Oryzias latipes: one gene and its partners. The protein of the gene in region 2 purifies or fractionates together with the protein of the main gene of each other region. This does not show direct contact. Links are inferred from orthologs where the notes say so. Each region holds a gene or a part of one and is shown on either strand. Other genes may lie near its edges. The genes, in order: tdp1, lig3 and aptx.

Region 1 (7,600 bases), on a different chromosome or scaffold from region 2:
TGATCATTTTTGCTTCATATTTCTACATAAAAGTAACAAATATTTCAACATAAGATGGTACTGCATGTGATTAGATTAGATTATACAGGAATAACCTAATAATAGATTTTTTTAATGGTTTTTGTTTGTTTGTTTTTTGCAGTGGAAAATATTACATTTATATTTGTGGGAAGAAAGTTGTCAAGCTCAGCTGGGTTGACATATGTGGAATAAAACACTAGTTTGATGACGCAAAACTGCGAGTAGACTTCAAACAAAATGGCCGCACCTTTAGCAGCATAAGGTGTAGGTGGGAGGTCGAAAGGCACGAGGAACCCAGACGAGGACGAGGAGACTGGGAATGCACTCTTATCAACGGGGAATGTCTTCAAGTTCTGCCAAAAAAACAAAAACAACAGTGACATTTGGTTTCAACTGTTTTTGTCAATGCAGGCATACATGCTGAAGTACTGGAGTTTTTAGGACCCACACGTTCCTGTGGTGTTTCTCTCATGATGGAGGACATGTGTAAGGAGCGTTTTTTTCTTTATTCAAATCGTTGTGAATCAGGAGCAGACAATAAAATGCGGTTTGAAAAAGATTGTATTTGTGAGAATATGCTGGGCGGGCCACAAGTTCCCGGCTCCGCTCCATTCTGATGCATCCACTTGTAGATAAATAGATCCACGTACGTCTTTTTTTTCTTCGTCTAGCGATAGCTTTTATAACCCTCGCCATTTTGTCGCACCGCTAATGCTAGGTTGGGGTTGTGAGGGGACTGTAAGCTAGCAGAAGAGCTTGTAAACAGAGAGCTCTCAGGAGGGGAATAAGGACAGAATTGTTCTTCACCAACTGTCCCACCCATAACTTAAAGGTACATTTCTAATGAACTACTTCCGCTTTGCAGAAACTATGTCCTCGAAAATAACACTTTTTTTTTTTTTTGCAGTTAGGCTTAAAAAAAAGCACAATCAGAATTCAAAGACCACTGGGAAGGCTTCTACAATAGACCAAAAGATGGCTGAAGTGGATCTTTAAGTATCGTGGGCTGAACTTACAAAGGCTGATGGCACATAGAGGACTCCCAGCTCATACGAACGCACCATCACCTGGGAGTTGTTCTTCTCCAAGGCACCCCACGCTGCTTTGGAAAGGTTTGCACTGGCACCATACAGAGACCAGTTACATCATCAATCAATCAACCAACCAACAAATGAAACTATATTTACAAAAAAAGTGCTTCTCATACTTGCGCAACTTGAAGCGTTTTACAATTAAAAATAGAATCGGGCAATACATAAATAAATCAATAAAAAAGAGAGAAAACCCTGTCCACCCTTTACCCACCCCACTCCCTCCAATTACCCCAAACAAGCATTGATCCCACAATCAATTAATACTAATAAAAGTGCATTCTAAAGGAAACTTAAGGCCTCCTTCATGACATGTTACATCTCAGATTCTTCCAGAGCCTCTTAAAGAGCACGTAGTGAAAGCATCAAAAAAGCACTGAGAAGGCACCTCGTGACGAGGAACCAGGCGAGCTCTGTGAAATCTGGAGAAACCCTCATGTATGTCTTGATGTGAGGCATGGCGTGACTTCTCCCTGTTGCATTCGCCTTCCAGCGACTAAACACACAAACGTTCACAGGCAGTAAGAAAACATGTCTATTTAAAAAAGAAAAAAGGTTTAGCAAAACGTAAAAGGGGTTGGGTTATATAACTTTGCTTCTTCCGACTCGCTTTCGAAAAATGTATCAAACTTTGTTTGACAATCCTTATATATTTCAGTGTCATATGTGCAAATATGTCTATAATTAGAAGCAAATCTAATGTAGAGAAAGTATCATTTATTTTCTAATCAATTTATGAATTAAAATCTTAAATAAATTTAATATATCTATGTATTTTTTATTTTCTTTTATTTTTTTCTCTTGTTTTTTGAAAGGATTTGAAATAAACCACTTACTCAATAGCTGTAGTAATGCAGTTTGGTTGAAGGCCGTTTTTAAATCTGTGGATTGCAGCCTGCAAAGTCTTGATTTGATTTTTAAATTTGAAATGGTTTATTTCAAGCAATCAAACAAGAATAGTACGCAACAACATTACAATCATCAGTTATACATTCATACAATGACGTATCAAATTTGGGATAATTAGACATAAAATTAAATACTGCTTGAAATGCAGGTAACCATTTTATTACATGATTTGTCATTATCCAGTTCCTAACTATATCAGACAGAATTAAGAATCCTTAGGTATTAATAATGGACATGAAAAAGATTAATTACTTAAAATATGAAGTAAAAAATAACCATTTTAGAAATCAACATCAAAATCAGTCTGTGCATAGAAACGTTTCCCTGCTTCTCTGCATTTTCGTTCTTAGAGAAACTGTCTCTCAGACTTTACATCACATATCACTCTAATGTTGACTCTGAAACATAGAATATAAGAATTAACTAGCAGGTGATTTGCACATAAAATTGGCTAAACCGAGCCTCACTGAATGGAGAGTTATAAAAAGCACGAATCTAAAAAGAAAATTGATGAAAGCTTTTTTACTTCATTGCAGTTCCTACAGGAACAAATAAGGCTTTGTTTGCAGAACGTTAAAACTCTCCTATTTTATTTAAAAATATCTGTTTTAAGGGGTTTCTCTAACTTAAAATGTCACATAATTGCTATTAACTTTTAAAATTATTTGCAAGATTTAAAAAAGTTGTCTCTTCATTGCTTAAGTGTTGAAATGTTAATACATTAACACGTATTAAAGGAAGTGGTTGAATTTGATCGGTGCATGGGAACTTACTGGAAGTAGCCGTGAAGCCAGAGCTGTTTCTGAGCCGTCTGGATGCTGTAAGGAAGAGAGCCTCCAGCTGGAGAGAAAAAAAAAAACAAACCAAACAGATAAACTTACATAACACGGTTTTAGAGCCAGTTAACAAAAAAAACAAAAATTCTTTTAAATTTGACCTGTTCAAATTTAGTCTGTCTGCTCTGCTGCTGTGCAGTGTTCACTCACTGCACGTATGCTAACTTCCACTTCAATCTCGTAAATTTACGAGAAAAAAGTCGTATATTTACGCCTTTAAATCTTGTAATATTACTTTTTTTTTCTTTCTGTCGTACTTACACAACAATGAACTGCTGTGGTTTTGAGGTTCAATGTTAAGTTAAAGGTTCAGTTGAAATGACGGAAGCTCTCACCTGGATATCCTTCCAGACTCATTCTCACATCTTCCACAGCTGGATAGAGCTGTGAAGGAGAGGCCCATCAGTACTTCTCTTAGGTCAGGCGTCAAAGCTTTCTGACAGACCATAAAAACTATGGATACGCTCCTGACATCATGACACACAACTTGAAGGCTCTAAGCAGTCATGGAGTCAGTTAACATGTCTTTTTTTTAATAAGAACTGTTTAGATATAGCATTTATTCACAAACAAGAATCCATCTTAGTCTTTATTACCCTTCTGACACATAAAAATGTTCACTTTTGCTTTGTCCTTAAACAGAACATGTGGGGTAGACCGCAGAACATACCAACAGCACAGGAGGGTCAGGGCGTGAGGAGGATTTCCCTAAAGTTGTCATTGTGCGCTGGAACTCCCCCGCTAACCACTTGGTTTTATCCAGTCCCATCGAGCCGATGCTGGAAAACTGACCGATCACGGGCCACTTTTCCTCGCCGGGAATCGGATTTGTGTGCTCGTACAACAGCTAACAAAGAAAGGTAAAAAAAAAAAACATAAAAAAGGAAATTGAAACTCAGAAAAGCAAAGGATTCTGCTGCTACGTTAAAAATGATGGCACAGGTCTGATCATTTTGATTAAATTAGAATAAATAAACGTTTTTCAGACACATCAGCGAACTTTGCTATACACTGGAAAAAATGTCCTTCAAGTTAAAAGTATAGAATACAAGATGTTTTTCCTTTGTTAATAAAAAGTGAAAAAAAAAGAAAATATCTGCCAATAGAACTAGAATTTGTCTAGGTGAGATTCCTTAAAATAAGTTGTGATGTCTTACCATATTTAGGTGGTATTTTCTTAATATGTCTTAAATAAATAAATAATAAATAAATAAAGGCATGTTGCTCAGGAACGAGTTTCAAAATCCTTTTCCTTAAAAATATCATATTCTAAGCACTACAACTGTCCAGCTATCCTTACTTCTACACCATAATCATCTTAAAGTCAGACCAGTATTACACCTCTCAAGATCCATTTGTTTCAATTATATGTCGAATGTTGAGTCAAATAAAACTTTCCAGTTTCCCAAAGTTTCCTTAGGTCTGTTTTATTGAAGATCTGTCAAAACTCACAAATAAAGTAAACAATCAAAAGATAAAGGAATAAAGTGGAGGACCTTCCTCAGCCTTAGATGTCCCCAGCGCTCCATGTCTGGACCCACAAACCTCCCTGGAGTGGAGCCGACCAAATACACCCTGACAAAAGAGTCCGATGAGATCCGGCTATGATCCTGCTGTATTTGGTATGACTGTGTGTGTGTGTGTGTGTGTGTGTGTGGGTGTGTGTGTGTGTGTGCGTGTGTGTGTCCACCTCGTCTCTGACAGGTCGTGCTCTTTGATGCGCTGGATCCACTCCTCCAGTTCTGGGGCCCGGTATGAAGTCAGGTAGTCCAGGAGGTCCCTTTTGAAAAAGGTGGGCGACTCGCCTGCACTCCAACCGCTGCCCGCTGGTAGCCTTGGAAACAGAGGACTCATCCACATCCTAGCACGGAGGACGTGTTTTAGAAGCAGTTTCCAACATAATCATGTTTAATCAAGCTTGCATTCAGTCCCTCTTCAGCCATTATTCAGTCCACAGGAGATGAAATATTGCAGCATCACCGGAGGCAGAAAACGTAGAGAACAATAAAGCAACAGCTGCTTCAGCTTCAATCACTAATTGAACTTCTCTGCATAGAAAATATCGTAATGGTAATCTTCATCAGATGGTGTGGAACTTAAGAGCCACAAGTAACTAAATATAGAATAGAGACCCACCCCTGTGTCTTTTGATACCAGTCGGCTCTGATAAGGTTTGATGTGAGGATGATGACTCTGAAGCCTTCTTCGTACCACAACAACATCATCTTCCTGCACAGACAAGCAACATTGAGATACATCTAATTCTAACTCATTATGAACTAAAACAATTCTGACAATCACCCACAGCTGTTAAAGATCTAAAATGGAATATGATTAATTTTTTTCTATAATAGTTAAAGTACGCTGTAATGGAAAAATGCAAGAAAAAACCGATGACCATCAACAGAATATGTTTTTTCTTTAGAACAAAAAAAAAACCTCTTATTTTCTGTTTTTGAAACAAGAAAATTAATGAAGTAATCAGGAAAAGTTAAAATTATAGCACTTCTGTATATTGTTTTATTAAGTTATATGATAATATTTTGTCATTTGAATAAATCCTTCAGCCCTGGTTTAAAAAAACACTCAAGAAGTCATGCAGATAGAAAATGTTGCATGTTAAAGCCTATTTTATTTGGATTATTAAAGCACATTTTAAAGAAAACTCCATAAGAAACACACTAACACAGTATGTAAGTCAATAAAACAGAGGTTTACTTACGTGTGGTGAGTTCCAAAAGCGATGTCCAGTTTGGCCTGTCGACAAAGAATTTAATGGAACAAACATTATCTGCTGCAGTCATTTAGGAAATACAGATTCCATTTGATTAGCTCTTAAAACCACATTTTAATCAGTCAACGTAGGTATAACCGGATCAAAACATGCAAACTTATAAAAAGAATATAAATATTTATATAATTTTAAGGGTTTTTATAGCTGCAGCTGAAAACATTATACATTTAAATTTTAAGAGCGTCAAATGTGAATTCCACTTCCTGTTTAGAAACAGCAACTCAAATCATAATAATTGAATCTTAAACAGAAGAGGAATAAAATCAGCGGTTCTGCTGTAGGAACAGTTTTCCTCAAACTATTACTGAATTGAACAAGTACTGAAACTGGTCTGTTGGGGAATGAAACTAACCATTTGGGCTGTGTCCAAACTGGAGGTCTGCATTCGTCCTGCATTTGTCGGCGTCGTCACGGCGGCGCGACAAGTGCTATCCAAATTCAACGACTCCTTCAAATGCGGCCAACAAATACGGCCTTCTTTTTTAACGATTTCTAGGATCGGTCTGGTGTATCCTTTTATGCTGTGCATATCCCAAGAGGTATTGCGGCTGAACCTGGAGATTTTCTGACAACAATGGCGGACTTTGAAGAGGGAGCCGGAGTTGGAAACCTTTTCATAATTACACCTCCAAGATTAAAAGTTGAATCAAATAAGCCAGGAAAAATTTTGACCTCCACGCCTGGTTCACTACTCCTCCCTGTTTGTGACTAACGGTTGCTAGGCGACAGGACACTTGCTGATGTAACGGCTGGAATTATCCAGAGGCTAGACTCGTCCAAATTTACAGCCGTTAACATCCGGCCCACCCGCTCGACGAAGGACCCGGCCAACATCGCCCGGGAAGGCCGCGGCCATTGGAGGATGCAGCCCTCGAAGTTGGAGACAGCCCTTGGGTTAAAGAACAGCTTTGTGCGTCAATGCTTCCCGTACCTGACAGAAGCGAACATGAGGAAAGGCTTGAGCCTGCTGGAGAAGCCGTGCTTTCGCCTCCCTCTTATCTCCATGTACGATCAGAACCGGACGATCTCTGAAAACACAAACTGAGCTTTAAACCAAACAACAGTTACCCGTGTGTTTTATTGGATTACTTACACTCAAGTAAAACCTGCTTTTGTTTGACATGAAGCTGAAGTGCTGTGAAACAGCAGAGCAACTGGAGTCATGAAAATGTGGATGTGAGACTTACCGAAACTCCGGTGGGTATTGCTGAACCATCCATGGAATGTCAAAGCAGTAGTTAAACTATAAAAAAACAAAGAAAGGATCACTTGAAACAGAAGATACTTCAGTTTCTTAGTGTCTTTCCCTAAAGGCCAGTTGATCGAAAACAATTCAGTCAGTGGAAGTGAGCGGAAATTTGTGATATAAATCTAGTGACATACCTGAACCGACTCTTTCAGGGTTCCAAATAAGGGGGAGAGAATGTCTGCACACAAAAAAATTCCCGTAAAATTCCCATAAATAGCTCGTCAGTAATGGAATGTGTATTACTAATGATGAGGAGTTAATCCTAGACAAATGCAAACTCACCCCTGATGTGCAGCGCCCCCGTGTTGTACTTTTTGTCCAAGCCTGTGACTTTGTTGAGGTAGAACCTGTAAGTGTCATTAAGACAGGGAATGTTGGATTCAAAGAAGTCCTCCGGCTCGTCGATATAGTAGAGTCGTCCATGGGGGCTCGGTGGACGCTCTTCTTTCACTTTTGGTTTCTTTGTTTTGGGGCTGGGAGGTGCTTTCTTTGGCAAATGACTCTGACTGTTGTCCTTCACATCTTTGTCATCGTCATCACTGTCCGACAGGGCCCAGCCTGTGCCCTCTGAGGCATCGCTCTTCCTCTTTCCCGCCAGCGAGGGGCTTCGCTCACACTTCACCGGATTTAACTGGTTCTTTGCAGCCGACCGTCTTGCTTCAGAACCCAGTGTGAGTGGAGCTGCTGCAGAAAGTGGTTC
Region 2 (7,672 bases):
ATTTGATTAGGAGTTTCACCTCATTTAAACTTTAAATCAAACACAGTTGCCCGCTTTTTTATACATCGTTTAGACTTTACGGGTCGTCCAGACCCGCGAGGACAACAATGTCATGTTTGAAACTCTTCCTCATAAAAGGCTTGAGTCTGAATCAGAACATTAAAGAAGAATAAAGCCGGTTCTATTGTTCAGCTGCTCCAGAACCACAGACAACATTTACATTGTTCTCTGATTATTTCTACTTTCAACCCAAACGCTGGTCTGTCTGTAGACGCCCTCGTGAGGACCGCCGGTCAGTGCGAGTCCTGGGGGAGGACAGGGAGGGTTTTGGACCCACCTTGTCGTTCCTGGCCTCCAGGAGCTGGGGGGTCGCTCTGGGTTTACTTTGCTGCCCGTTGCTGTTGACATTTTCGCTTTTCTTCATCTGTTTGTGGAAAAACTAGTCAGTTTTACACGACTGCACTTCCTGGTTTGGACACTAGGCGGAGCTACTCATAGAAGAACTGGAGAGCAAAACGGTTATTTGAACTTTCCAGAGTTTATAATGGAACTGCTGACATTTCTTACTGAATAATTTCATGTTGTTGTGTTATAAATAAAGCAATAATGAACTGTAAACAATTTTACGTTGCTGTTGAATTAAAAAGGTGCATTCAGCTTAAACAATTGTAAAAGACGTTTAAAATCTTAGACTGTTTCTCCATGGAGACGTCTGCAGCTGTTTAGTGACTAAATGTCGTCGGATCAAACACTTTTTACTAAAGTCCGGCAGGATTTCCTCTTTTCTTAACGAACCTGACCCAGATCCCAAATATCAGTTCACGTCGGCCCTGCCCACCTTTTTGGCGCTGGAAGCTTCCGAGTTGGGAGTGCGGGGTTCCGACTTCTGGGCCTTTGCTTTCGTTGGTGTTCTGTTAGCTGTGAAATGTTAGCATCAGATTGACATTGAGGTTTTTTCTTTTCCTTTGATTTGGAGCCAGAACAGACGTTCTGAGGGAGACTCGACATCAGAGATGAACTTACCCGTCTTTTTGGGGGGAGCGCTCGTGTTGGAAGAGGGCGACGGCGAGCTCCCCGTGCTGTCCCCCCCTGACGACCCTTTGTTGTTGTCGGCGGTGGACGGGCCGGCCGTCACTTTGAAGTCGCAGTGCTCCTTGGAGATGCGGAACAGCTCCTGCGGGAGCGATGGACGCACGTTTAAACCCATGAACCTCTGCTCCTCCTCTTCATCATTTGTCACATGACCTCCCGTCTTCTCAGCGGGACATAATCAGCTGGACTGCACACCTCGCCGTCGGCCATCTCTGCCCAAACGTCTGTGTTTTAGGCCGCTGAGGAAACTGAAGGTCTCACCCTGAGCTGGTGCAGGTTGGTGGCGGTCTTCCAGTCTTTGTCGTCGCGAATACGCGTCATGCGCGGGAAGCGGATGGAGATGCCGTCGGCGGTGTGCATTTCCGATTTGGAGAACTCGGCACCGGTTATCTCCCAGACCGGCGCTTTCTGCGGGAGGGAAGCAGCACATGAGAGGCCCGCGAGCACTGCTGGCGCTTTCCTGCAGGATCCGGACGCCGAGCGGAACACCTCACCTCAGGGTCGCGGATAATGAAATCTGGATAATAGTTCTTGACGATTTTCAGCCAGCCGGGGATTTTGCTCGGCTCCTACAGAAGCAGAGGATGAACTCCTGACTGTTTGGAATTTTCCAGCTCCGCCTCTCTAAGTGGATCTTCTCTGACCTTGCTGATTTTAATCACATCCAGCTCCTTCTGGAGCCGGGCCAGCATGGCGTCATCGTATCCTCCGGAGCACTTGGTCACGGTGCACCATTTCTTTGAGTCTGGGTCGTAGCAGCCCATCAGAAAACTGGACATGATGCCCCCTGGTGGGAGGAAGAACAAGTACAACTTTAGAGCAGCGAGTGTTGCTTTGCTGACAATCTGAGTTTACTTTGGAGTTTTTTTTGGGTATGACCTTCTTCATGAGATTGCTACAAAGAAAATTGCTTTAAATTGTTTAAGGTTTCACTTTGATCATCTTTTGGTCTTTTTTTAAAGTGTTCCCAGTGGTCTTTTAATTATGATTATGCTATTTTTTTGTGCCAAAAATCAAAAAAGCTGTGTTGACATAGTTTCTGCAGAGTTCTGTTTCAGCTTGTGGCCCGTCCAGCATCGTTTTTTTTATCTGCTCCTGATTTACAATGATTTGAATAAACAAAAACTCAAACGTGCACTTTTAAGCTGATTTTCTTTACATATGTCCTCCATCAGAAAACTGCAACAAGAACACGTTAAAAAACCCATCAATAATTCCAACGTTTTTCAAAGTTTTGAAATGTTTTGTCATCCTGAAAGTATAAAAGGGGTGGAGTGACAGACCACATGACACGTGCTGCAGAATTAAAACCAAAGTTTAGAGAAAGGAAAAGCAGATACTTTCTTCTTTAGTCATTCATTTTGCAGAGTTGAATCTGTTCTCTGACCATCACCCACCGTTTGAGCCTTTCCCATAAAAGGCGCCGAGCACCACCAGGTCAGCCGTGTCCGCCATGGCGCCTTCGTTCAAGTAGTCTTTCTTCACTTTCAGCCAGTGGCGCTTCCCCGGCTCGTAGGTGCTCTGGAAACGCGAGAACCTTCAGCGGCGCTGCAAACATCAGCTTCCTGTGTGAAGCAGGACGCCGCTCACCTTGATGTCCTTGAGCACCAGGCCTTCCAGTCCTTCCCTGATGACCCGCGTTATCATGTCGGCCAGGTCTCCTGCTCTCTGACACACAAAGGCGTGGCAGGTCTTTAACGTGCAGCGACGACAGGAAGCCGCGCTCGGTGGAAACGCCTACCGTGACGTGTTTCATCTCTGAGAAGAGGATCCTGTTGGGAACTTCCACCATGTTGTCCGTCAGGAATTTCCTGCGCTCCTTCAGAGGCCTGAGAGAAACGACTCCTCTGGATTATTTACAAAGTCCACCAAGGAGGAGTCCAGCGTCACAGAATTTTAAAGAACTTCAAAACATTCATGAGAACATCACGGAACTTCATTCTCATGAAGAATATCTTTCTAACTTTACCCAACTGCTTTTCCTTCCTTCATCTTTCTGGGGTCCAGATGACCCAACGTTAACGTGCCTCCGAGGCACGTTAACGTTGGGTCATCTGGACCCCACAAGACAGCACACGGGATAAACTGGTGCCACATTCTGTTGCGTTTTATCCGTTCGAGATGAGCAGACTTACTTCTACCCGAGTATTCCTTTGAAATAATACGCCTTAAATATATAGCGCCGACCACAATATTGAGAGAAAATTGAATATCTGATTCCGACCGAGTTTGAAACTTTGTCATCAGGCCTGATTTCTGATCGGATCGGGACGTCCCAAAATCACACCTGCAAAAAAACCTTTTTGACCCCATGTGCTTCTCTTTATCTTTGATAAAACCAAACAGGCCGACGTCCTTCATTTTAGCCAAATATAAGGTTGTTTTTATTTTGAAAGACTAAAATCTGGGTAGGAAACAGACACAGAAAGTCTTAAACAAAGAGAGACAATTTGTTTGTTTTTTTTAGCTATTTTTCCTTGTGTCCATTAGATGGAAAAAACTGACAGTCGTGAACTATAAGGACTTTTCTGTAGCAGTTTGAGAGCCATAAACAGGAGAACCGAGGAAGACTAACTGAAAGAGAATGAAGTTAGGCGGCAAACCGTCAAAGACGCCTGCAGAGAAGCGTTTCGGGTTTGTGCAGAGCTGAATTAACGCCGTAGCTTTCATTGTTCCATCGGGGACGCAGGCGTCTGTGTGTGGAGGAGAAAGCCTTACCGCTCCATGAGGCTCACGCCATTGAAGTAGATGCAGTCGAAGACAAAAAGGCACACGTTGGCGTCTTGAAAGGCTGCTTTCTGAGGGGAGGAAAGGGTTTGAAGTGTGACAACAATGACTGGTCAGAGGGAAAATAAAAAAGTTCTTCCTCACCTTGTGTATCCCCAAAGTCCCAAAGGGCAGAGGTTTGCTGCTCTTTGTGTCAATTAGGAGGACCTCAGCATCCAGAATCATACTGTGTCCTCCAGGAAAAGCCTGAGGGATGTAGTCTTTGAAATGGGCCACCTGAAAACCACAAACGCACAGGGATCAGAATTTAAACAAGGACTCGACGCTGTGTGAATATTATACTGTGGTCCAGGCCAGTACTGGATTCTGATTGGCTGATTAGCAGAAATGAATGTCCCTGTCGTCCATTCATGCCTGCTCGTTCTCTGCCCTGCTCAGAAATACACGCGACTATAATTAGGGAGCTATTACAGTTCAGTTCAAAAAGCATCATCCCCCCCCCCCCCAACACCTACAAAATGATGCCACAAACGACACTATCTCAGCAAAAAAAAAATCTAACGTTTGTCATTTTTTGTAAAGGAAAGCAGGAAAAAGTTTGATTAAAATTGGAATTTGATTTTATTTTCAGACCATTTATTCTGTGCGGATGACGTGGCCTCCTACACAAATTTCCATCCGTTTTTATGCTCGGTCGCACGTAAATACAGGCGAATAACGTCAAGAAAACACGATTTCAATGTGGCAGCAATTCTGTTGGTGATATTTCCATAGCAACCATTTATTTTTAAGTCGCCTGGGAGTGACAAACAGGTTTGTGTCACTTTTGGAAGGATTTTCTGTTAACCTGAATATGCTCACGTCATCGTGCGTCATATTGTTTTGTTCAGCTCAGACCAACCACCATCTTCATTATATTCTGGTAGAAATGTGCGAGCAGCAGGGAAACGCCACTTTTGCGAGCTAACGCCGTTAAAATGCTGCAAAATTTTCCCGTTTTAGGGGAAGATTTAGGGGTCAAAATTTCCCACTTCGCCACCAAATGGCAGCCAAGCTGTAGGCCTATGGCCATCCCATAATAATTGAAGATCTTCCTTTGGAAATTCCAGACACGTGTGGATTTTGAAATATTTTTTGGCCCCATTCCCTTTTTTCCCCCACGATGCCCAAAATTCCTTTTCAGCAGGTGACAGGTGCGTGGATGCTATGGTGGGTTTTTGGCAGGTCGTGACCTTTTCTGAGGTTCTAAGAACAATCCGGTCCCTTGGCTGCAGCTGCTGCAGGTCAGAATTCTAAAATGACAAATTCTACGTTTGATGTCCTTTTCAAAACTTGTGGATTTCTCCGTCTGTGGGGGTGGGGGTGGGAGGTGGGGGGGCGTGAGCCCCGGGCTAAGAAAACAACGCTAGACGACTTTGGCCGCCCTTCTGCAGCCCCCCACACACCACGTAAACCCACCGTTAACACAAACTCCCTGATTGCAGAGGCCGGGGGCTGCAGAAGGGCGGCCAAAGAGGATCCTGAGACGGATCCACAATCAGCAGCTTGTTGCTATTTACTAAGGAAGCAGAGGATCCTCTGCTTCCTTAGTAAATAGCAACAAGCTGCTGATTGTGGATCCGGAAACAGAGCCGAGGATTTGCCGCTTTCAGAGCGGGCTGCAGCTACATCTAGTGGTTGTTTGGTTCCTGATGCCGACGGCGTCTTCGTTTATAGTTTGTGGGAAATGTGGGTCTTTTTTTCTGTCAGTTAGAAGTATCTTCCAACAGTGGGGCAGACCTTGTGCGGCAGCACGGGTTTGAGGCTGCGGCTGAAGTAGCTGAACGAGTCGCCGCTCTTGTGGACCTGCACGCGCTCGCCGTCGTACTTGATCTCGGCGTACATCCCGTTCGGACACTTTTTCATGGCCTGATCGATGGATTTGCACGCCTCGGCCTGCAATCAGAGAAGAAAAGCAGCACAGGTAAACCCATCGGGTTGGATGTACAGTGGTCCCCCGCTATATCGCACTTCACCCTCTGTGGTTTCTGGTTTTGTTCGTTTTTCAAACCGCTTTGTGTTCTGCAACCTGATTGGCTATAAACCTCGTCAATCAATCTCCTGTACAGAATGCGTTCAGTTTAGAAAAACTGCATGGCAAATTCCTACTTCACAGATCATTTTTAGAAGGTAACCCCTGCCATAAAAGAGGGACCACTAAAGGATTTTACCTGAACCTGTGAGGAGTAATCGGTTTAAAAACTGAAACAAAAAAAAACCTAAAAATGGGACGTTCTCTTGTTGTCATATTGAATTTTGTGTGTGAAAAAAAGTGAGGCAGGTACACCAGCAGAGAATTTTCTGAAACATTCCAGACTTGGAACGAGGAAAATCCGTCTTCTGCGACCCCCCAAGTACCACATGACCAGAACCGCCGGCGTGTGCGCTCACCAGCATGGGCTGCACGGGCGTCATGAGTGACGCCTCAACCGTCAGCAGCTTCCGGGGTCCCGACCCGTTGGACGCCTCTTGCTGGTTTCTCAGAACCCTCTGGATGACGTCGCCCAGGTTACGGGAGGCCTTGAAGGCGTCGTACGCGTTCGGATCTACGGCGTCCAAGCTGCACAAGGAGGCGCAGGTGAGAAGGAGCCGACTGCGGCGCGTTGACTGCGGCGCGGCGTGGACTGACTTACACGTGCTTCGCTCCGGCGTTCATTTTCAGGTCGTGCTTAATCAGTCTGATGATGCATTTCAGGTCGTTGCTGGTGCATCTGTGAAGACGAGAAGATCATCTGAGGTCATTTACTACAAAACCTTCAGGACAAAGGTTCTGATGAGACGGAGGAGGAACTTTGTGGAAGAAAAGAGTCCTCAAAGATAAATGAAGATCAGACATTCTGGTGGGAGGCCGGGATCCCTGATCTGGATCAGGACGTCCTTCAGCAGCAATGGCGTCTAACACCAAGCTGAGGAGACTTTTACTTTTTGGCGATGGCTTCCAGTTCGCTCTGCTGCTCGTCCTCCTTCGTCAGCTGAGCGAGGCGGGTCAAAGATTCATCCACTTCCTGAATGGTGAGCAGGCTCTTGGATGCAGGAGGAAACGATTTACTCTCTTCAAAGAACATCCGGACCGTCTCCGACACGTCACCCTTCAAATGTGTAAAAAAAAAAAAAGCATCTGAAGCATAATTTCTGTTAAATGTGACACAGCAGCTGGTGGTGCTTTCAACCGTCCTCTGAGCTCTGAACGTACGTAGATCAGAGTTCAGAGAGGTTTGGATGCAAACATCAGCGCTCCTGTCGTCAGACTCTTTAAAGCTCAGGTGTAAACAGCACCGACAGGTATGTGTCGAAAAAAATGGGGCATCAATCAGGATCCAGAACCAAAGCTGGAGTTATTTAAACTCCTGATGGAAATTGAAATGGAAACAGTTCGCTTTGGATTTAAATGCAGAAAAAGATACAAAAGCTCAGGTTTCTGATTAGAAACAATGAATTTCTGTTTTATTTTACTTGATCTTTTTTTGGTATATTGGTTTTTTATGGATGTCCCCCGCCTTTGCCCACGCGTTGCCGGGATAGCCCCCCGGCAGCCCCGTGACCCCAAAAGAGACAAAACGGGTTTAGAAGACAAATGAATGAATGTTTTCCATGAAAATTCTGTTAACTCGCCTATTAATGAAGGTTTTGCCAAACATGTTTAAATAAAAAGCTCCTCTTGGATTAGGATTAGGAAGATAAAACGGCAGCGTCAGACTATTCAAGATGATCTTTATGACACAGTCTAGGTCTGTATTTATTGACATTGACCTGCTAAAATCATCTTTTGATCGGTTTTCACAACATTCCCAGTGTCTCTGTCTTTAGCCAAAAG
Region 3 (8,158 bases), on a different chromosome or scaffold from region 2:
ATTTATCTTGGCAGCAACACGACATTCAGAAATAATCTATATAATATAACATCAATAAAGGACATCACAAATGACATTTATATTAAATAATTAAAAATATCACAGAAAATTATTATGAAAAATTATTATCAAAAATTAGATTCTTATTAAATAAAGAAATAAATATTAAATATTAAATAAATACAGCTGCAAAGGTGTAAAAAACATGCGGTCTGCAAAACATGTAAACCCAGTGTGCAAATACTTGGTGCAAATACGCCACATCATCAGCGGCGGTGGATGTGTCATTACTTCTTATTAATAAGTAAAAAAAGGATGTCCCTGTCACAAGCCACTCATTTTCATGGCACTATTTAAGCACTGGTTGTTGTGTTACCGCAACATTTTGATGTGTTTTTGTTTCCACAGAGTTACCTATAGTCATTAGTTGATGCTTGTGTCTGTCCATTTTCAGAGAATGAAGAGAAATTCAACATATATTCTTATTTTAAGAATAAAAGTGCAGCAGAAGGAGTGAAAGAGATGGTAGGGGAGCAACAGAGGAGTAGTGAGGAGGAGGAAGATGAGACAGAGCAGCATGAATGACAGAAGAGAATAAGGAAGACAAAGATGAGACGGCATCAGAGGAGGGACAGTCAGCATCATTGGTCAGAGAAACAAGGCAGAACTCAGCATAAGCAGGGGCTCCACCTGTTCCTGGACCAACTGGTGAAGTTAGAATTATGTTACCCTAATAATAAAAATGTTTCATGATTATAAGTCTGAATAGAAATGTCTACAGATATAATTAATAATTAGAAGGATATTTTTATTATTATTTCAGAACAACAGATTTCATTTTTTGTTTATTGTAGATATCTCTCAGTCAAGAGCCGAACAGCCCAAGCAGACACACCTAAGCATTGAATATAAACAAAAAATATATATATATATATCAGTAGTAGTATCTACTAATGGTATCTACTAGTATCTATTAGTTATTATACTAGTAGTATCTACTATAAATTCATGTTCTACAAAATATCAGTAGGCATTTATCTTTCTATTGGTTTTCTAAAGGTTGTTTTACTACGTTTGGTAGAATGAATTTTAAAAATATAGCTCATGGTTTTTGTGTGCCACCCCAAGATTTAATGTGGCCCCCCACTGGCCACCCCCATGAAAAATTTCTGGAGGCGCCACTGAAGGGTTACCAAAATACATACGGTTTAAACCTTCTCTTACCCTTATAACTTAATTCTTCTGATTGAACACTAGATGGTGACAGAGTTATTCCATTGACACGTCTTTTGGTTCAGTACAGTTTATTCACTAATATATATTATTTGCTGAAAATCACTTAAGTCTTTCAAACTCAAAACGGTTGTTTGTTCACACAAAACCATAAAAAATGCTTCACAGTCAACACTAACCAAACAATAAAGTCAAAATGCTTAAAAGCTAAATTTGGAAAAAGGAGAACTACGTATTTAGATAACAATTATTGCAACATGTAGAGTTTTTTTATTAGGCAACTCTAAAGAATGTTGTGACATGTGATGGATAACAAGTATTTCTGAAGAATATCTGGGTATTTTGACTTCAAACTCCAACAGACAGAAACCCTGAAAAAATAATGTTCCCGCTCTGAATTTTCTAGAAAATGAGCTAACTTAGAGCAAAACAGCCCAGAATAAAAAAGTCCCACGGTTATTTAGAGAGGTGGTGCTTCAGGTGCTCTTTCAGGGCAGGAATGGTGGGACACTCTTTGTGACACACGTGACATTGGAGAGGCAATTTCAACAGCTCACTAGTCCCATCCTTCACAGAGACGCTCCCATCCTTTTCAAGCATCTGAATGACATCTAAAAAAAGAAAACGCTTGATTTTACACACAGCACATCTAAATCAATCAATAACATAAAGTCTGCTCTTACTTTCAGAATCTATGAAGTAATCTGTGGTAAAGGAATTCCAATGCTTCTTGTTCTTCAAACAAGGAGAGTCAAAGTCTTGACTGATCACGTGGAGGTGGATGTGACTGAAGAGTGTAAACAGAACGGTTCATTAGTGGGAAAATGTCAAATTCAGCCGAGATGTCCTCGTGTAACACTACTCTGATGATTTATTGTGCTCTGAAAACAAACCCACAATGAGCACATTTAAAGCAGTAATACCTTTATTTATCCAGGTAGTGATGCTTCAGCACAAGCTCTCAGGGGAATCGTTGCATCCCTACTGCATATGTTTGCATATGTTTATGTTGAAAGTAACAAATACGAGCATTGTGCTAAATTTAATATAGTTTTATCACATTACACCAGGGTCATTATAAGCAAACTAAAGGGCTTTGTTTACTGTTACTTGCTTTCTAGATAATAATAAATAAATAAAAACCAATTTTTTTTTTATTATTATTTTGTTATACACATGTATCAAAGTGAAACAACACTGTGACCTGAAAAACCAGAAAGTGAATTGTTGCATCTCTTCATTATTCTTTATTAATTTTCAACAGTATGGGGAAATTTGAGGCTGGACGGTGGGGTAGTGGTTAGCGCTCTCGCCCCACACTGAGAAGGCCCTGGTTTGATTCCCAGCAGGGCCCTTTCTCTGCTGAGTTTGAACGTTCTCCCGATGGGTTTTCTCCAGGGCACTCTGGCCTTCCTCCAAAAGCATGCATCATAGGTTTACTAGGTGACTCTAAATTGCCCCGAGGTGTGCATGTGTTTGTGTGGCCCTGCAAAAGACTGGCAACCTGTACAGGGTGTTAACCGCTTTTCCTCAGCAGTAGCTGGGACAGGCTCCAGCAACCCCGAAAGGGATACAGCGGGTTAAGAAAATGGATGGATGGTGTACTTTAAGGAGTAACAGCCCAATAAACACACATAATAAAGACTTACCTCATGCTTGGGATGGCGTGATAACCAGTCCGGAAGCTAAGTGAGCTGGATTCTGGACATTGCTTAATCATGCGCTCAGCCACCTTCTGCATGTGTTTCAGCAGATCGCAGTGTTCTGCCTTCAAAGCCTTCAGGCTGGGAATCGACTGCCATGGAAGAACCAGCCAGTGGTAACGAGCTTTGGGATACTTGTCTTTGATCACTACAACTGTATCGTCCTTGTATATCTAAAAAAAAAAAAAAAAGATCAATTAAAACAGAAACAAAACCTAAATTTAGTTTCAATTTAGACGTACGTTTATCAGTAAGTAATGTTGAGTTATAGCTACCTGCATTTTGGGGTCTTGCATTGAAGTTTTCAAGCCTTGACTCCAATGCCCAGAAATTCCCTACAAAATGTCAGTTAACATGAATTATGAGAATGAATATTTAAATAAAAACTCTCCAGGTCTGCAACAATAATTTGTATATTAGGCATAAATCACAGATTGTAGATTTCTTTGTTTCTCCTCACACTAGTTTTTGTGGCTTCTCCTGGAATGACAGCTGCAGCGACTTTTTCTGTGAGTTGTCCAGCTTTCAGGCAGTCTGTCTCTCTTTGGCTTCCTCCATTCTCTTTGACTGGCTCTGGTGGTCTTTTGGTGGCGCCCTGGCTCCCGGTGGTGTCCTCTTTGAACTGCACGGTGTATGGATAAAGGCTGTTGACCACGAGCAGCTGCTCTCCAGGCTTCATTTTGACCTCATTGCCTTTACCCACCACCAAGGAGCCGACAGAGGTGGGGTTTAACCCCAGCTTAGGGAGGGGAGAAAAAAAACAGGTAAAAAAAATAGAACAATAAAAATAATACAAAATGTACAGCAATAAGGCTTTTTATTTTGTTTATACCACTGATCATTCTTGTGAGCATGTTACCTGCTTCACTTTGACATAACCTTTGTTGCATTCAGCTTTCAGTTCAACTGATGGGAAAGTCAGGAACATTTAGACAGGTTAAAACTTTGCATTTCGTTTTACAAACATGAATGAAAATAACTTGATGCTCAAGTCATTCAATTCCTGCTGTTTTCTTAAATGTATTATCCCTGAAATCACTAAAACAATAACAGATTATTTTCCTAACATTCTTACTGAACTCACAGGAAATCTAGAGACTGTTTTTGTAGGTAACATCGTTACCTTGATGCCGGGAGCATTTTTTGTCTTTGATAGTAGTTTCTGGGCCTCGACCCACGACAACTGTCTGTAAATGAGGCAGGTGAATGGGTTTGTGATTCCCCTCTTCACTAATGAGCCAGCAAATGGGCATTTTCTCATTTCGTTACGCTTTTCTCCCTAATATTTAGCAGCGGGACACGTTTGAATGTTTGTTCAACTTGTCGCGGAGTGATGACGAACGAGGGTGCGACCGAGGAACAAGGTGGGGTGGGAAGTTCTGTCTCCTCCCAGAGTTCTTCACTTTGCGAGAGCGCGCAACAACAGCAAAATTGTGAACGACATAAAAACGTGTTTTCTTGTATAAAAATGATATCTTGTAAAACAACTTTTTATTTTTTTTTATTTTTTAGTTGTTGCTTTTTAATTTTTTGGTCTTTTTTCTTCTTCTTGGTTGGTTGGTTTGTCAATGAATGGACATTAAATCATAGCAGTTTCAGAAAATTCAACAAGGCTTGGCTCTTTTTAAATAATATTTAAAATATCACTTTTTTGTATCTAAAACTTTTATTATGACTGACTTTCTGAAACGTGATTGTGCTGAAGTTAGATTCGTTCTTTTTTTCATTTAGGTTTAAATTTGTGGGTTTCAGTCATGTTAATATTGATATCTTTTGGGAGAAAGAACATAACTCGACATGGTGCGGTCACAAGTACCAACAGTCGGGTTTAGCTGTCGACGCGCGTTCCCGCGAGGTGGACGTAGATGTCTGCGCTGCGCGCAGACAAAACTCGACACCACACCAGCAGTCGGCAGAAAGAGGGCTGCAGGAAGATTCTGGAAGAGCCGTTGTGAGCTGCAGTCTTGTGAGGGTGCTAAGCGTGGTCTTCGTTTAAGGTTGGAAAACCACTAATTCTCGAAACATGTTATTAACAACAGCCCACACGTGATTTGTTGGCTAAAAAAATTGGCAAAAAAGCCACCATGTTGATGACATACATAGCTACGACATGAGTAGCTAAATTAGCTACAAAGGCCGAATCATTGTGCCCCTCTACGCAGAGAAATCTAACTTTATCCACAGATAATGGAACAGTAGTAAGCAGAACACCAATGTTAGTCGACATGATGAGCCTGTCGGACTGCATTATATTTTCGGTGTTTTTCTAAATCCCTAGAAGCTTTCAGCTATGATATTGACCAAATGAACAGACTCTAGCAAATAACCCGTTTGCTGCTAGAGCTTCTCGGGTAAAACTGACCTGAGGAACAAAAAGTCTCAGCATTGTTTATTTGTTTTTTTCTATTAGAACAATCTGTCCTAACACACACAGCTACCGTCTCTGTTTTCTCACACAAAACAACAGAAAATTTCTAAGCCAAAAACTCCCATCATGCTCATTTACATGCCTGAAAAAATGTTTTTTTAAACAGCAATGCTCAGATCTGACGTTGTTTAAATATTTTAGTACATAATCAGATTGCTTTGTTAGCAAGTAAAGACTTAAGACTCTTTCTGTTGTTGCTTTTTTCAGCGTCTGGTTGCTTATTGGTCACATTTTAGTCAATCTTAGAATTGGGCAACACACAAGTAAGAAAATTGGACCTCATTCACCTTTGTTTATCATTTCTGAGAAAAAGTTGGCTTTTCTGCTGTAAGCTTCATCCCTTCTTTTTTTCCCTTTCACTCTTGCAGTAACTGCTATTTATTTTGTTTTTCTTATTTAGGTGTTTGTTAAAGTTCCCAATTTTGTTAACTGTCATTAACAGATAAGGACCATCAGATTAACCAGATGAGGATCAGATTTGTTTAGTGTGTGTGTGTTAACACACTGTTATTGTTTTTTCTTTAGGACTGGCCTATAAAAACCTATCATGGTCAAGGAAATGGGATTTTATGACACTTTGGGCGTTCAGGCTAACGCAACACTTGACGAGCTGAAAAAGGCCTATCGCAAGCTCGCCCTGAAATATCACCCTGACAAAAATCCTACAGAAGGAGAGAAGGTACCACATAACGCAGCTGCCACAAACGTCCTTGTTTTTCTTTTCTTTTCTTAAACGATTTGTCTTTAAAGTTCAAGCAGATCTCACAGGCGTATGAAGTGCTGTCAGACCCCCAGAAGAGAGAAATCTATGACAGGGGAGGCGAAAAGGCATTAAAGGAAGGGGGAACTGGTGGCGGCGGCGGTGGCGGTGGCTTTGCATCACCCATGGACATCTTTGACTTTTTCTTTGGTGGAGGTAGTCGGATGCAAAGAGAGCGAAAAGGTAAAATAAATAATGAGAATACAACAAACACACTCTGGGTTTTGTTTTGAAGTATATAGTTTATGGTTCCTCTGTATGTTCCCCCGGTCCGGACTGTACCAAGTCCAACACTGACAAGCAAATGTATTTTTTATGCTCTGAATGAGTTAAAGTGTCGTCGTGTAGGATTTAAACATCACTAACAGTATTTTTAGTTATGTTTCTATAGATGTTAATCATAATATTGTATGATTCTTGAAAAAAAGTTGTCTTTTTGTTCATTCACAGGAAAGAATATGGTGCACCAGATCACTGTATCTTTAGAGGAACTTTATAACGGAGCAACGAGAAAACTAGCCGTGCAGAAGAACTGTATATGTGAGAGGTGTGAGGGTAAGTCTTTCGCCGCTCAGTTTTTTTGAGAATCTTCTGTGCCGCAAAGACACTACTTCTACGTTTCTGCAGAAATAAATAGATGGGTTTAGTACTTTCAAAATCAAATGTGCTAAATATTTACCAAGAATTCCCGATGTTCACAGCAGCAGGAATTCTTTTTGTCCCAAATATTTTTAATATCCACTCTGATAAAAATGCGTTTTTGTTGTCTTTAACATGTTCTAGTGGCATTTTTCTGATGATGGATGGCATATATTAGGGGGAAAAGCTTAAAATTGCATTTCTAAATATTTATTTATTTCAAATTGTTGAAAAAGTGTAGTTGTGATAAAGAAAATATACTGGACGGGTTAGACTGTTTAGTTTAGCCATTACCTATTAATTTTTATAACTTTATGTTCTTTATGATTTCATGTTTACTATACAATTACCGGTATGAAGCCCATTGAGACGACCATTGTTGTAATATTGGGCTATACAAATAAAATTCAATTGAATTTTTTAAAACTTTGTTTAACCCTGGAACTCTTTCGCTATCAAAAGTTACACACCATCACTTTTGTCGGGTAATTTTTACCCGGAATAATATACCCAACAAAAAGTACTTGTCAAAAAAAATAGATCAAAACACGACAACACATAATAAATTAAAGTTTTTTTTTTCAACTGTAGTATGTGTAACAAAATGAAAAACATAGGAAGTTCCTAAAAACATGCTAAAAAAATTACTGAAAAATTAGGAATTTGAAAACAAAAAATTCATTAAAAAAATTACTAAAATGACACTAGAAAGTTGGTCTTTGGTCCATCCATACCTGGGACACGTGAGACTTCCCTGTGAAGGCACGGACGGCTTGACACGCCACATTGAAATTCATGTAAATAGTTTGGCTCAGGTGAAAATCCCCCGGCGACAGTGCTCCAGAGTTTACTGCAGTAGCTCAAGGTAGAGATGTTCCTAGAAATGTTTTCTATCCGTCTTCTCAAGTAATGACTGGGAGATTCTAAATTCATTTCTACAATTTGTGTTTTCCAAATAAAACGTTGAAACCAGAGTCATCAGTAGTATTATTACTGGAACAGATCAGGGTAACGCATCGCTGAGTTGCATATTTACAGATGAAAGCGATTAAAGTTTCTGTTTAGTATTTGGTTGATAGTGAAGCGTTCAATGAATTTCATGCTTTTTTGTTTTGTTTTTTAAGCATGAAGTAGAGCTGGCCTTAAGGTAGAACTAAGACTTTCCCTAAAAGCACAGGTTGTCAGATTGAGTTACTGTTCTTTTATCTTTCCTCACATTGTTGAGTGTTAATGTGACTGAATGAAGGTTTAGTTCTAGACCTGCATGTTCGTTTTGTTCACACCCACATTCCAAAACATCCTCCAGTCCTTTAAGGGGCTTTACTTAAAAAGCTTCATAATCCAACTCGTATAAGAGTCAGGATCAAGTTAAAGCAGAAGATCAAATCAGATTTA

The links.
Region 1: the proteins of lig3 (region 2) and tdp1 purify together in Homo sapiens (affinity purification with mass spectrometry; 4 studies listed by BioGRID and IntAct, with this or other methods). This does not show direct contact. The link is inferred for Oryzias latipes from reciprocal best matches to the Homo sapiens genes LIG3 and TDP1.
Region 3: the proteins of lig3 (region 2) and aptx purify together in Homo sapiens (affinity purification with mass spectrometry; 3 studies listed by BioGRID and IntAct, with this or other methods). This does not show direct contact. The link is inferred for Oryzias latipes from reciprocal best matches to the Homo sapiens genes LIG3 and APTX.

Annotation. Positions count from the first base shown.
Region 1 is NC_019861.2:31,359,770-31,367,369, reverse strand, and holds part of tdp1 (tyrosyl-DNA phosphodiesterase 1), read right to left. Parts: coding exon 7,183-7,600; intron 7,079-7,182; coding exon 7,035-7,078; intron 6,895-7,034; coding exon 6,839-6,894; intron 6,680-6,838; coding exon 6,583-6,679; intron 5,615-6,582; coding exon 5,580-5,614; intron 5,087-5,579; coding exon 4,994-5,086; intron 4,719-4,993; coding exon 4,548-4,718; intron 4,433-4,547; coding exon 4,354-4,432; intron 3,705-4,353; coding exon 3,528-3,704; intron 3,242-3,527; coding exon 3,193-3,241; intron 2,862-3,192; coding exon 2,795-2,861; intron 1,609-2,794; coding exon 1,501-1,608; intron 1,141-1,500; coding exon 1,038-1,140; intron 375-1,037; coding exon 269-374; intron 1-268. UniProt on the Homo sapiens protein: DNA repair enzyme that can remove a variety of covalent adducts from DNA through hydrolysis of a 3'-phosphodiester bond, giving rise to DNA with a free 3' phosphate.
Region 2 is NC_019872.2:27,675,447-27,683,118, reverse strand, and holds part of lig3 (DNA ligase 3), read right to left. Parts: intron 6,948-7,672; coding exon 6,781-6,947; intron 6,570-6,780; coding exon 6,492-6,569; intron 6,419-6,491; coding exon 6,250-6,418; intron 5,755-6,249; coding exon 5,599-5,754; intron 4,096-5,598; coding exon 3,964-4,095; intron 3,891-3,963; coding exon 3,811-3,890; intron 2,922-3,810; coding exon 2,834-2,921; intron 2,761-2,833; coding exon 2,683-2,760; intron 2,614-2,682; coding exon 2,490-2,613; intron 1,880-2,489; coding exon 1,737-1,879; intron 1,662-1,736; coding exon 1,587-1,661; intron 1,501-1,586; coding exon 1,354-1,500; intron 1,175-1,353; coding exon 1,024-1,174; intron 919-1,023; coding exon 839-918; intron 425-838; coding exon 338-424; intron 216-337; exon of another isoform or gene 1-215. UniProt on the Homo sapiens protein: Isoform 3 functions as a heterodimer with DNA-repair protein XRCC1 in the nucleus and can correct defective DNA strand-break repair and sister chromatid exchange following treatment with ionizing radiation and alkylating agents.
Region 3 is NC_019859.2:15,248,525-15,256,682, forward strand, and holds aptx (aprataxin), read right to left. Parts: upstream 4,290-8,158; 5' UTR 4,190-4,289; coding exon 4,060-4,189; intron 3,843-4,059; coding exon 3,796-3,842; intron 3,676-3,795; coding exon 3,397-3,675; intron 3,272-3,396; coding exon 3,212-3,271; intron 3,110-3,211; coding exon 2,883-3,109; intron 2,021-2,882; coding exon 1,917-2,020; intron 1,845-1,916; coding exon 1,690-1,844; 3' UTR 1,286-1,689; downstream 1-1,285. Other genes in the region: dnaJ homolog subfamily A member 1, read left to right, coding at 5,912-6,043, 6,115-6,307, 6,575-6,679. UniProt on the Homo sapiens protein: DNA-binding protein involved in single-strand DNA break repair, double-strand DNA break repair and base excision repair.